2 linked regions of the Arabidopsis thaliana genome follow. The protein of the gene in region 2 purifies or fractionates together with the protein of the main gene of each other region. This does not show direct contact. Each region holds a gene or a part of one and is shown on either strand. Other genes may lie near its edges.

Region 1 (5,318 bases), on a different chromosome or scaffold from region 2:
AATGGGTCTAGGGAGGACTTAAAAGACTAAAGAACTATTAGTCCAATACTACTATGAAAAGTCACATGAACCTAAGAGATTTTTTTTAATCCAAACCAAATAGTAAATATAACAAAGAGAAAAGAAAAACAAATTTAACATTCAATTTCAATTTACTAGATTTTTTCAATCAATATAAAACTGTTTGAAACCAAACCGAATATTATTTGTTAAACTTTTTACTAAAACTAAAAACGAAAAAAGGGAAAAGAAAGCTCAACGAACAAAACGTCCAAAACCACTACCGTTTTTCTGTTGTTGTTAAACAAACACTCCCGTTTGTATAAAACCTCAAAAACCAAAACAGAAATGTTCAATAGAGCAATGGGGTTTGGGTTCAAGATCGGATCAAGATTCCGATTAGCCACCGCATTCACATGGTGCCTTCTCATCGCATCAGCGTGCTTTGCATACACCGCATCAGCAGCCCGGTTCGAGGTAAGAAACGAGATCTCCATATACCCAGGACGGAATCGTAGCCTCGCGATTAACTGTTGGTCGTCGAATAACAAATTGGGCACGCATGCTCTCAAACCAGGCCAATCCAAAAGCTGGTCGTTCAAGCCAATATTTATTAAGATACCGTTTTTCTACACATACTTTGAGTGCACGTTCTTCACCGCGTTTGGCTCGCCATTTGGTCAGACAGCAACGGTTTTTGCCGGGGAGAGATTATTCAGGTGGCAATGTGATAATCCGGATGAGGAAGAGTGCATTTGGGTGGTTAAGAGAGACGGGCTATATCTAAGGAGGATCAAAAGAGACAATAAAGGCCAAAGGCTCTATGGAGATGAATTGAGAATGGTTTGGATCGGCGGTACTAATTACCACCCTGTAAAAGAGGATCCATAATCTTTACACTTCCATGACCACTTCAGGATATATGTTATATCTCTATTTTTGTGTGTATGAAATGGATAACACGATACATAATCTAGAAGAAACAGAACAGCTTTTGTGTCTTTCCTTTATGTAAAGGTAGCAAATTTGAGATCAATCCACAAACAACTTCAACAGCGGAAAGAGAATGAATTCATCCGGACTAGATGATTACTTTTGCTTAAGCTCCATATTTTGGGGCTTTCCAAAGTTTGAAAGCAACTTCGTGGATGAACCGATCAGCCGGTATAACAAGATTTCCACAGAGCTATGATGAAAAGAGAGAAACAACAAAAAAATTAACCTTGAGACAAGAAGCCGTGACGTTTATTATAGCAGAACTTGCATTAAACAGAAACCATACCTTTTTGAGAGCTTCAAATGATAAGGTATCAACTAAGTCTTTCCGGGTCACCCCATGCTGCCACTGAGCTACCAACATAGGACAGTAGTGCCTGTAGGTTGCAAGAATGACCAAACCCGTCAAGAACGAAATGATGATTTCAGAAAAGTTCAAATCAAATTCTTTTGGTTTTGACAAAAATTCATCGAATCTCTTACCGAACATCATCCCGTGTCTTTTCACCTCGCATGGTGTAGCTCTGACGCGGGACAAGTCCTATAAATGCCGGGTTAATGTCTTCTTGTGGAGTCTTGATTGGAAAAACTGAAACATCTTTGTCTGTGACAGAACCATAGCTAAGAACGACAGACAGATGCAACCGCGATAGAATCTCTGAACCTGGTTGAGCCATTCCCATAATACTGCCAATCAAAGAGTCGAGAATTCCCATGTTGTTCCCGTTATTATATTCATCAACCCCGAAATGAACAAAAACCAAGTCATATAGGTTCACATCCAAGCACTTTCCTCCTTCAAATCCAAGCAGCTTTAGTAGTTTAGATGATGTGGCATCAGAAGGAAAGGAATCACTCTCTTGGCATATTTCACTAAGCTGTAATACATCTAAGCCAATCAGTTTTCCGAAAGAAGTCAGAGTAGAACTGTCCGTAACTAAAGCAGCTTTGAGTCCCATAAACCTGGCATTAAAGTAAATACTAGCATCAACATATGGATATACCAGCTATTGATTATCAAAGAGAGTATAAAACTATAGAGATAAGTGAAAAGTATAACCTTTCAGCCAAAGTTGAGATATCATTTCCATTTCCCTTTGGTTTTAGTCCACTCTATTAAGAAATCAGATCATGGTTCGTTAATCTCTAATTCGTGAATAACTATGTAAACACACTGAGATTGTTAAATATTTTGCCACAAAACTCGGCTCACATAGAAATTAATATAGTAGAGAGTAAAGTATCTCACAGCTATGGAATAAGCTTCGGATGCATCCAGCAAGTGGGAGAATTCTCGAACTATTCTTTCATTCTCAGTTTCTGCAATATTGAAACAGCAGAGTGAGTTAGATCAATAGCAAAATGTCAAAGCAAGGGCAATGTAACACAAGTGATCTCAAATCTTTGTTTCTTAAGCAATTGGGTCAATTGACACTGAACAAGAACTCTAAGTTGGCCAGTTAGATCAATTGTATACTGGAGTTTCATATTGGACTATTAAAAAAGTCACAATCGAATCCAAACGATATGGTTCAATTCTGATCAACACTAAGAAATCCTAACAAGTGAAAACCCTTAAAGTAGCGATTTTGACTGAAATTCAAGACGAATCAAACGAAAGTAACCAAATTTATGAAGAGATAGCGAGGGAGAGAGAAAGAGAGACCTGGAGGTGCATTAGGAAGGCTCAAGAAGCCACAAGTAGCGACGGAAGCAAGAGAATGGATGTTGGTATTTGACGGATCGACAAATCGAGCCAAGCCGTCTCCGTACAATATCAGTGATCTGCTTGATTTGTCCGCCATTGTTGTCAAAAGACGAATTGTCCGAGAAGAAAAAAACAGAAGCGAATATATATATTTTTTTGTCGTGAGGGGAATATATATATATATATATATAATATAATTTTTCTTTTTTTTTGTTTTTAATTTTTTAATTGACAGCGATTTTTTGGATAATTTTTGGGGACCATGAACTAAAAAAACACGTTTACAAATTTCACAGAATTATAAATACAGTGAAATCTATTTTTATTGGATTTAAATGATTACATGAAAAAGAGTCGCATTGAGTAATAATAAGTATGGCGTAGACATTGAGCTAAAGTTTTATAGAAATGGAAGATGTTTTGTCCTAATCGAAAATCAAATAACCAAGAAAGACCCATTCCATTCATTAATCTACCACATGGACATGGTGCAGTTGCTGTATATTACAAAGAAACAACACAACATTAAAAAGAAAAAAATCCGATAATTAATTTTAATACAGATATGTCGTAAATTGTACAGTATAGTCTTGTTATATGTAGAGAGCCTATGTATGGACTGTTTGTTGACCATTGCAACAATCTCACTTTCCCTCTCTCCCCACTTGCCCACTCCTCGTCCTCGATCGAGAGACTCGCGACGGTTCCGGTTCTTCTGCTAGACCGTTGCTCCAGTCCGGTTTAATCCAGAACCAGTTGTTCTGCCATGGTGGAAGGAAGAAGAAGAAGAAGATTCTCGCTCTCCTCTCAACAGCTAGCTCTCCTCTTACTTTTACTCTCCTTCTTCCTCTGCTTCTCCGTCGCGTCTCCTCGAGCTATATCTGATTCGGATCTACTGGATGAAACAGTCGCCAACTCCTCCTCTTCCGTCGCATCTCTCAACGCTTCTTCTTCTTCTTCTCTTGTTAAGCCTAAGGAAGGTAGCTTCGCCGACATCATCGATCGTGCTCTTGAAAAAGAGTTCAATGAAAGCGACCAGAATGAAGGTTAGTGTTTTTTGCTACTTTATGGAGCTTGAAATGGCCATTGAACAACTAGAATTCATTAGGTAGATCCTGAATTGGATCCGTGATCCAATTGAAAGTTCGGAACTTTAGATTGATCCCACATTCGTCTTTCCTTTTTGGGGATCTCCCAATGTGGAATAGTTTGCTTCTTCTAGATCGAGAATATTTACACAAACAAGATACATTTTTGTGATTGGTTTTCCTGAAATGGATAGTGAGTGTTTATCTTGTATTCTTACACTTTTACTCGATATATTATCTCCCAATGTTGTTATATTTGTGGCAGTGGCTGATCCTGGAAGCTTCAATAACAGTGTAGCTGGACAACAGGTTTGTTTTAACTTTTAATCATTAGTATATACTTGCTTCTGTTTATTATTCAAAGTTGGACAATTTCTAGGAAATTCAAGCAGTGTCAAAATCACTCCCAAGTCTTTTGTTTGAAAGTATAAGGCTTGCTTTAAGATTTGATCATTTCTCTCATTAATTGCATAGTTTGAGTATCTGAATGTGAGGTTGGTTGTTGTACCTTGTGGTGATCAGGCTGTTCTGGAAACTGTAGCCCGAGTAAAGTCGACCAAGAAAAATGAGACAAAAGAGGAGAAGTACACCATTCTATTATAGTTATCGTTTATATTTCTAAATCTTCCTTTGTATGACCTTCTTTGATGTTCTGGAATTGAAGACGTATTAAGCGTTATCTAATTTTCCATAGGCGTTTTCAACTCCATGATGTTTTCAACTTGAACAATGATAACAGAGCTGAGGACACTCCAACTCTCATTGATCGAAAAGTAAGTTTTTACACAGGAAGACTGAGTTTGGATTTGTTGCATTACTTCTTACATGGAAGTTTTGGCCTTGTGTCAGGACAATGTCTTCATCATATCCAATTCCAAATCAAAGTATCCAGTATTGCAGCTAGACTTGAGGCAAGATTCTTGGTCTTAAACATGATTCTTGAAAAAAAGACTATAATTTTCAATCAGTCATCTGATTTCTGCTTCTTATGGCATGTAGACTGATATCAGACCTGGTGGTTGTCATTGTATCTGCAACTTGTGGTGGTATCGCCTTTGCTTGTGCTGGACAGCCGGTCTGATTTTCGTGCTACTCTTATTCTCTATCAATATGACTTTATGTTTCAGTATGATGCATTTGTTTTCTGATAGCTATGACTCATTCTGTGCTTATGTAGGTGATAACTGGATATTTGCTAGCAGGATCTATCATTGGGCCTGGAGGATTGAACTTCATCAGTGAGATGGTCCAGGTATGCTATGTGTTTGACCTCAAAAGATTTAAGTCTTTCGTCCACTCCCAATACCTTTAGTTGAGAAATTCCTTTAAGGTCTCGAATACTTATTTAGATCAGCAGGTTAGGAACTATTTTCTTCTGAGGATCGTTGACTAAGATATTACACATAGCAAGACATGAGTCTTTGACTAGAAACTCTTTTCTTCTGTGGGTCAAAACAAATTGAGTTTTTATCATGCATAAGAGAGACCTTAGTTCGTCTTCGAATAGGAAATCTAGAGCTTAGACT
Region 2 (5,511 bases):
ATCTATGGAGTTATTGTCTATGGGATGATAGGATACGAATGGACAGCTTCCAAGTTTTTTTTGAACATATTCTTTACCTTCATCAGCATCCTCTACTCTATATACACTGGTATTATGGTCATTTCCGTAAGCCCTAATCAAGAAATCGCTTCGATACTCAATGGTGTCATATCCACATCGTGGAACGTCTTTTCAGGATTCACTATTCCTCGTCCCGTAAGTAACAAATTCTGTAGATTCTCTTTCTAAATTTTGTAACCAAAATGTTCACAATTAATCAATTATAGTAGTTTCAGCTTGGCTATGAATGCTCATAATTTAAATGGATATTAACTTTGCAGAGAATGCATGTATGGTTGAGATGGTTCACCTACGTGTGTCCCGGGTGGTGGGGGTTGTACGGACTGACGATAGCTCAATACGGAGATGTGGAGACAAGGCTCGATACGGGTGAGACGGTTGTTGAGTTCATGAAGAATTATTATGGTTATGAATACAACTTCTTGTGGGTTGTCTCACTTACCCTCATTGCTTTCTCTATGTTTTTTGTATTTATCTATGCTTTCTCTGTTAAGATTCTGAATTTCCAAAAGAGGTGAGAAAATTTAGGGGTGGGCATTTCGGTTTAACTTTGGGTTCGGTTCGGTTCGGTTCGGTTTATTAGGGTTTTGTAAAACTTTAATCAAACTCAACCGAAGTTAGTATGGTTTGGTTTGGGTCAATCTATATTTATTTGGCTTTAGTTCGGTTTGGTTTAAATTCGGTTTTAAAAACTAATCAATGTAACCAAACAAAATTATTTTGTTCATTTGTTTGAATTTTGAACTTGATAATAGTTAACTGAAGCAACAAGTTGTATATTTAAGTTTAGTAATTCAAATAAACCAAAGAAAAAAATAAAAATGCAAACAATTACATATTTAGTAATATACAATAATATTATTAATTAATTAATTAAATAAACACATTGGGTTATTGGTTGTGTTCGATTCGGTTAAATTGCGAACACCAATAACTCATTATCTACTTTGTTTGATAATCAATTATTCAATTTGTTACGAAAACTAGGTTTGTGTTACACTTTCAGCTTTTGGTATTTTTATTACACTTTTCAATATCCAAATTCTCAAAGAAAAATGCAAAACTTTTAAGTAACTCATACCTCTAGATTAAGAAAGTTAGTGATGACTCCCATCATTTCACCGCCATGGAAACGGCCAAGACATCCTCTTGCAGCTGCAACCTCATTCAACTCTGCAACTAAATCTCCACCAATTGCCAGAGGAGCTTCCCTCCTCCCACTCTCTTCCTCTTGTTTGGTAACATCTTCACCTGATTCCACAACCGTTGGAAGTGGAAAAGGGTCCAAAGACGTCTCTAGTACGGCTGATTCTCCTCCCACCGCGCTCACAAAGTCCCTTAACCGGCACATTGTGAATGGGACAGGCTCAAAGCTGTGGTCTCCATACTCAACAGGAGTTGAATGATCACCGGTCACACACAAGAAATACTGGTAATGTGTAGAAGACTCAGCTTGCCATAAAAGCTTAGCAAGCTGACGTATCGCCTTATCAACAGCTTCTAAACCTCGAACTTTGAACATTGTCGCCTTATCATGACCTGCATCATCTATAGCCTGCAACAATATAGAAATATGATCGAAAATCAGAGTGGAAATTTTTAAATTTTGTGTTAAAAGACTGAAAAAAGTTTTCACCTTTATGTGAAGGAACCCGAAATCATAACCATCTGACCTTCCTGGTTTATGCCCGTCCTCTCCCGGTACAAAGACATTAGGGCAGGGATTCAAAGGAGCTGAGAGAGCATTAGCTATAGCAGTTGCTTTCGATGTCAGAAGCGTCCGGTAATCTCCAGTAGCTCCCGGAGCTTCTAAAATGTCAATACCGAGCGACATACCAAGTCCAGCTATAATCTTTGTTGGTGCTACCATACATGGCCACAAGCCATGCTTCTCATGAAAAGGAGGTACCTAAATACACAAAACCCGTACATGAAGCAATTACATTAATTAACATCATTTCTACGAACGCAAGTAAAATAGTCAAACACACACCTCGATTCGAATACCACAACCACGTAAAAGAACGAGATTTGCAATATTCTTGCCTTGTGCAGCTCTCTCTGCGTTAACCGGGTGAGAAACAAGAATACGCGATATCTCTCTTGATAATTCGTTAACAACTTTAGCAGTGTGAGTAGCTTCTTCTGATTCATCTAAAGGTTTAGCTTCAAGAAGCAAACGATTATCTTTCAACGGATCAGTGCCAGATATATTCCCACTAAGTCTTGGCCCTTTAACAACAACACCACACCGATGTTCCGTCGCATATCTATCGAAAAAGAAACAAACTTTAGCCAAACAATAAACCACACAAAGCCATAAACACTAAGACAAACATTTTGCAACCTGACTCTCACTTCATACTCAGGGAAAGATTGAAGCTTTAACCCATCAAGAGCTGCACAAAGTATAGGACCTTCTTCTTCGAAATGTCGATCAGCTCTTCGACTAACAACAACTCCAGATTTCTCATCCAAAGTTGCAAAATTAGACTACATGGTAACAGAATGTTAAACAAAACCTATAAACAAACAAAAGAATGGAATACAAAATAATAAAACGCACAAACCTTGAAAGCTATATCACCAGGTGACATAGCTAAACCTGCACCCATAGACTCAAAAGCACCACGTCCACGGTAATATACTCTTGGATCATAACCCATGAGAGAAAGATGAGCAGTGTCACTACCACAACCTAAACCAACTTCTACTGGATCCATTAAACCGTTGATACCAGCTGATGCAATTGCGTCGAGATTAGGTATGTTTGCTGCTTGTAATGGAGTTTTGTAACCTAGTTTTGGTATTGTTACATCTCCTAAACCATCGATTAGAACAAAAGCTACTCTCTTTTTGACTTTTACATGATCTTGTTCCATTTTTTTTCTTTGATCAAATGGGTAATCTAGAAAACGAAAAAGGAAGAGACTTTATAATCTGATCGGGAACAAATTGAATTGAGAGTAAAGTATTTGCATGATTCGAAATTTGTTTGCTTACCTGAGAAACAGAGAAATGATCTTCAATTCAAAGAATGTAACTCTTGAGCATCAATGACAGATTGTTTTTTTTTTTAAGAATCTTTATAAAGGGGAGACGAATAAAGGATTTAATAGAGATTTAATCCAAACCGAATCAGAATATAATTAACCGGTTTAGATTGAACCAGCCTTCCGAGAGTTTGCGATTGGGTTTGGAACTTTTGGATATACGAATGATGGGCCATTAGCCCATTACCAAGTTTAAATACTTATTTTAGGCCCATAGCTTTTTTTTTTCATTTCAAATTATTATCGATCAATGAAAACTAATAAATGTTGTTTATAAACGTGATATGATGCGATTCGGTATAAAACTTTTGTGCCAAATTATTCGCTTTACTAGTTGACCCATAACTATTTTCTTAATTAATCATAATAAATAGATCAAATATATCTCTAATGAATAATGTACTTGACGACAAAAAGAAATATATAGTTTTCTTAGTTATTTTTCTCATAGTAATTTTAGTTATTTTATAATTGTATACTTGAAAACCATGTGGAAAAATGAATGTCGGTGTCTAACATTAATATGTCGAATTTTCTAACACATCAATAAAGCAAAATACATGTTTTAAATTCTAACGCATTCCACCGGGAAAATACATGTTTTAAGAAATATTTAAAATTTATTATTGAGTTAAAATGTTGATCGATTTAGGTTTCTCAGGGGCCTAGTATTAAGGCATGTTCGTTTAAGTGTCGTGCGACTATAACCAGCGACTGGCTTTAAAAACGACTGAGTTTTGTTTTTTTTTCCTCTTTTTTTTATAAAATTGGGATATGTTGTATAAATTTGTAAATTGGAGAAGAAGATAAACAGTAGTCCAGGTTTGTAAATATTTGAAAATGGCAATTTGATTTAAAAAATCTAGCGACTATCGTTACTTCAAAATTAAAGCTTGGGTTGTGTTGCTGATTTATCCAGCGACTCCAAATTCTTTAGATTTCAGTTGCAACGATAGAAAATAGGGGAGATGAAGAAAAGGTGAAGAACGGATGAAGGAGATGTAAAGGCAATATTTTGATTATCAGTCGATGTCGCTGCGATTACTGCCGAACAGGACCTAAGGAAACGAGTTTGGAACTCTACATATTCCAAGTATAATTTATCTGTTGTCTCAAATTCTAACACATGTTCTATGCATCTACATAGATATAAATATATATTTACGGTCCATTTTAATATTCAGAGAGAGTATCTATCCATAGACTCAAAGGCGGATTAATGGTATAAACAGGTGGAGCAAGTGTCCCATACACATTTTTTATAAATTAGCTAGTAACAAATATTGATTAGATTATGTAGCTCAGTTGGCTATTAAGTGCTCTATGTGATATCTTTGGTCATGGTTTGTTGGTTTTTGTTGTTGTACATTGAATGTATAGAAATGATAATAGATTTTTTCTGTTGTTGTACACATCTCTTTTTACTCCTCTTTATGTGATATTGCTTCACTTTGAATGACAAGTAATCTATACTTGTACCGGTGTGGCGCGATAGAGTTCGTCCTCAAAGCAAGGGCCAAAGGCTTAACATCTGTATCACTGTATGACAAGTAACAAATACTATTTTGTCTTTGTTTTATTAAATGGTCGTTTTAAAGTTTTAAAATAATCAACCTCTTTTGAGTAGATCTTTAAGAATGAAATCACTAAGATTTTTTTCCTTTTTACAAAGAATTAATTAATCTTATCAATAAAAGAATAAAAGAATGTATTAGTTGAATAATATATAGTTTTGGTCTTCTAATAATGTAAACCAATAAGATAAATACATTTATCAATAAATAAAATTTAAAAGAATGTATTAGTTGGATAATCATAATTCATGAATAGAGAAATCTTATCGCCTACCACTAAGATTCAACGACTAATTCTTTATTTTTGCTAATATTGACTAACCAAGCACCTTGCTCTCCACGTTTAGTTGTTAAAAGAATCCACCTAGTCGTTTAGTCAAATTTTATTCTTTAAAACCTCTAGTCATTATCAAGTTTCATTGAAGAAAAACGTTTTCTTTGATTCGATAGGGAGGACCAATTTGATCTGAGTTCGTGATCATTGCCTGAACTTTCCATGGATCTTGAAGCTGAACCCATCAGCACAAAGTGTTAGTATGTTGTGATGTTGCTGAGTTGTGTAGCTGTGACAGTTGGAAAATGGACACTCGGTCAGAATCACAACATATGCAGTGACAGTTTAAAGAAACATTCTGAGATAGTATTGAAGCTTGAAGATCATCAAAGTACAATCTACTAAGGTGAGTTTGAGTTCTAAAACACAGTAATAAAGGGGGAGAATGAGAGTATATTTGTAACTGGTTGTTAGACTCAAGATGATGACACACAGCTCAAGATATGAGATGATACAGACTGCACTACAA

Evidence for each region. The genes of interacting proteins can lie anywhere in the genome.
Region 1: the proteins of AT3G30841 (region 2) and AT5G11810 fractionate together in Arabidopsis thaliana (co-fractionation; one large-scale study listed by BioGRID). This does not show direct contact.

What each region holds. Positions count from the first base shown.
Region 1 is NC_003076.8:3,806,222-3,811,539, reverse strand, and holds AT5G11810 (rhomboid family protein), read right to left. Parts: upstream 2,863-5,318; 5' UTR 2,802-2,862; coding exon 2,663-2,801; intron 2,317-2,662; coding exon 2,246-2,316; intron 2,110-2,245; coding exon 2,057-2,109; intron 1,960-2,056; coding exon 1,480-1,959; intron 1,374-1,479; coding exon 1,283-1,373; intron 1,187-1,282; coding exon 1,100-1,186; 3' UTR 892-1,099; downstream 1-891. Other genes in the region: AT5G11820 (Plant self-incompatibility protein S1 family), read left to right, coding at 349-891; KEA6 (K+ efflux antiporter 6), read left to right, coding at 3,471-3,750, 4,058-4,101, 4,315-4,376, 4,487-4,565, 4,642-4,703, 4,792-4,867, 4,970-5,044.
Region 2 is NC_003074.8:12,589,047-12,594,557, reverse strand, and holds AT3G30841 (Cofactor-independent phosphoglycerate mutase), read right to left. Parts: upstream 3,181-5,511; 5' UTR 3,085-3,180; exon of another isoform or gene 2,990-3,084; 5' UTR 2,964-2,989; coding exon 2,652-2,963; intron 2,575-2,651; coding exon 2,429-2,574; intron 2,352-2,428; coding exon 2,075-2,351; intron 1,991-2,074; coding exon 1,718-1,990; intron 1,637-1,717; coding exon 1,157-1,636; 3' UTR 1,007-1,156; downstream 1-1,006. Other genes in the region: ABCG38 (pleiotropic drug resistance 10), read left to right, coding at 1-216, 342-599.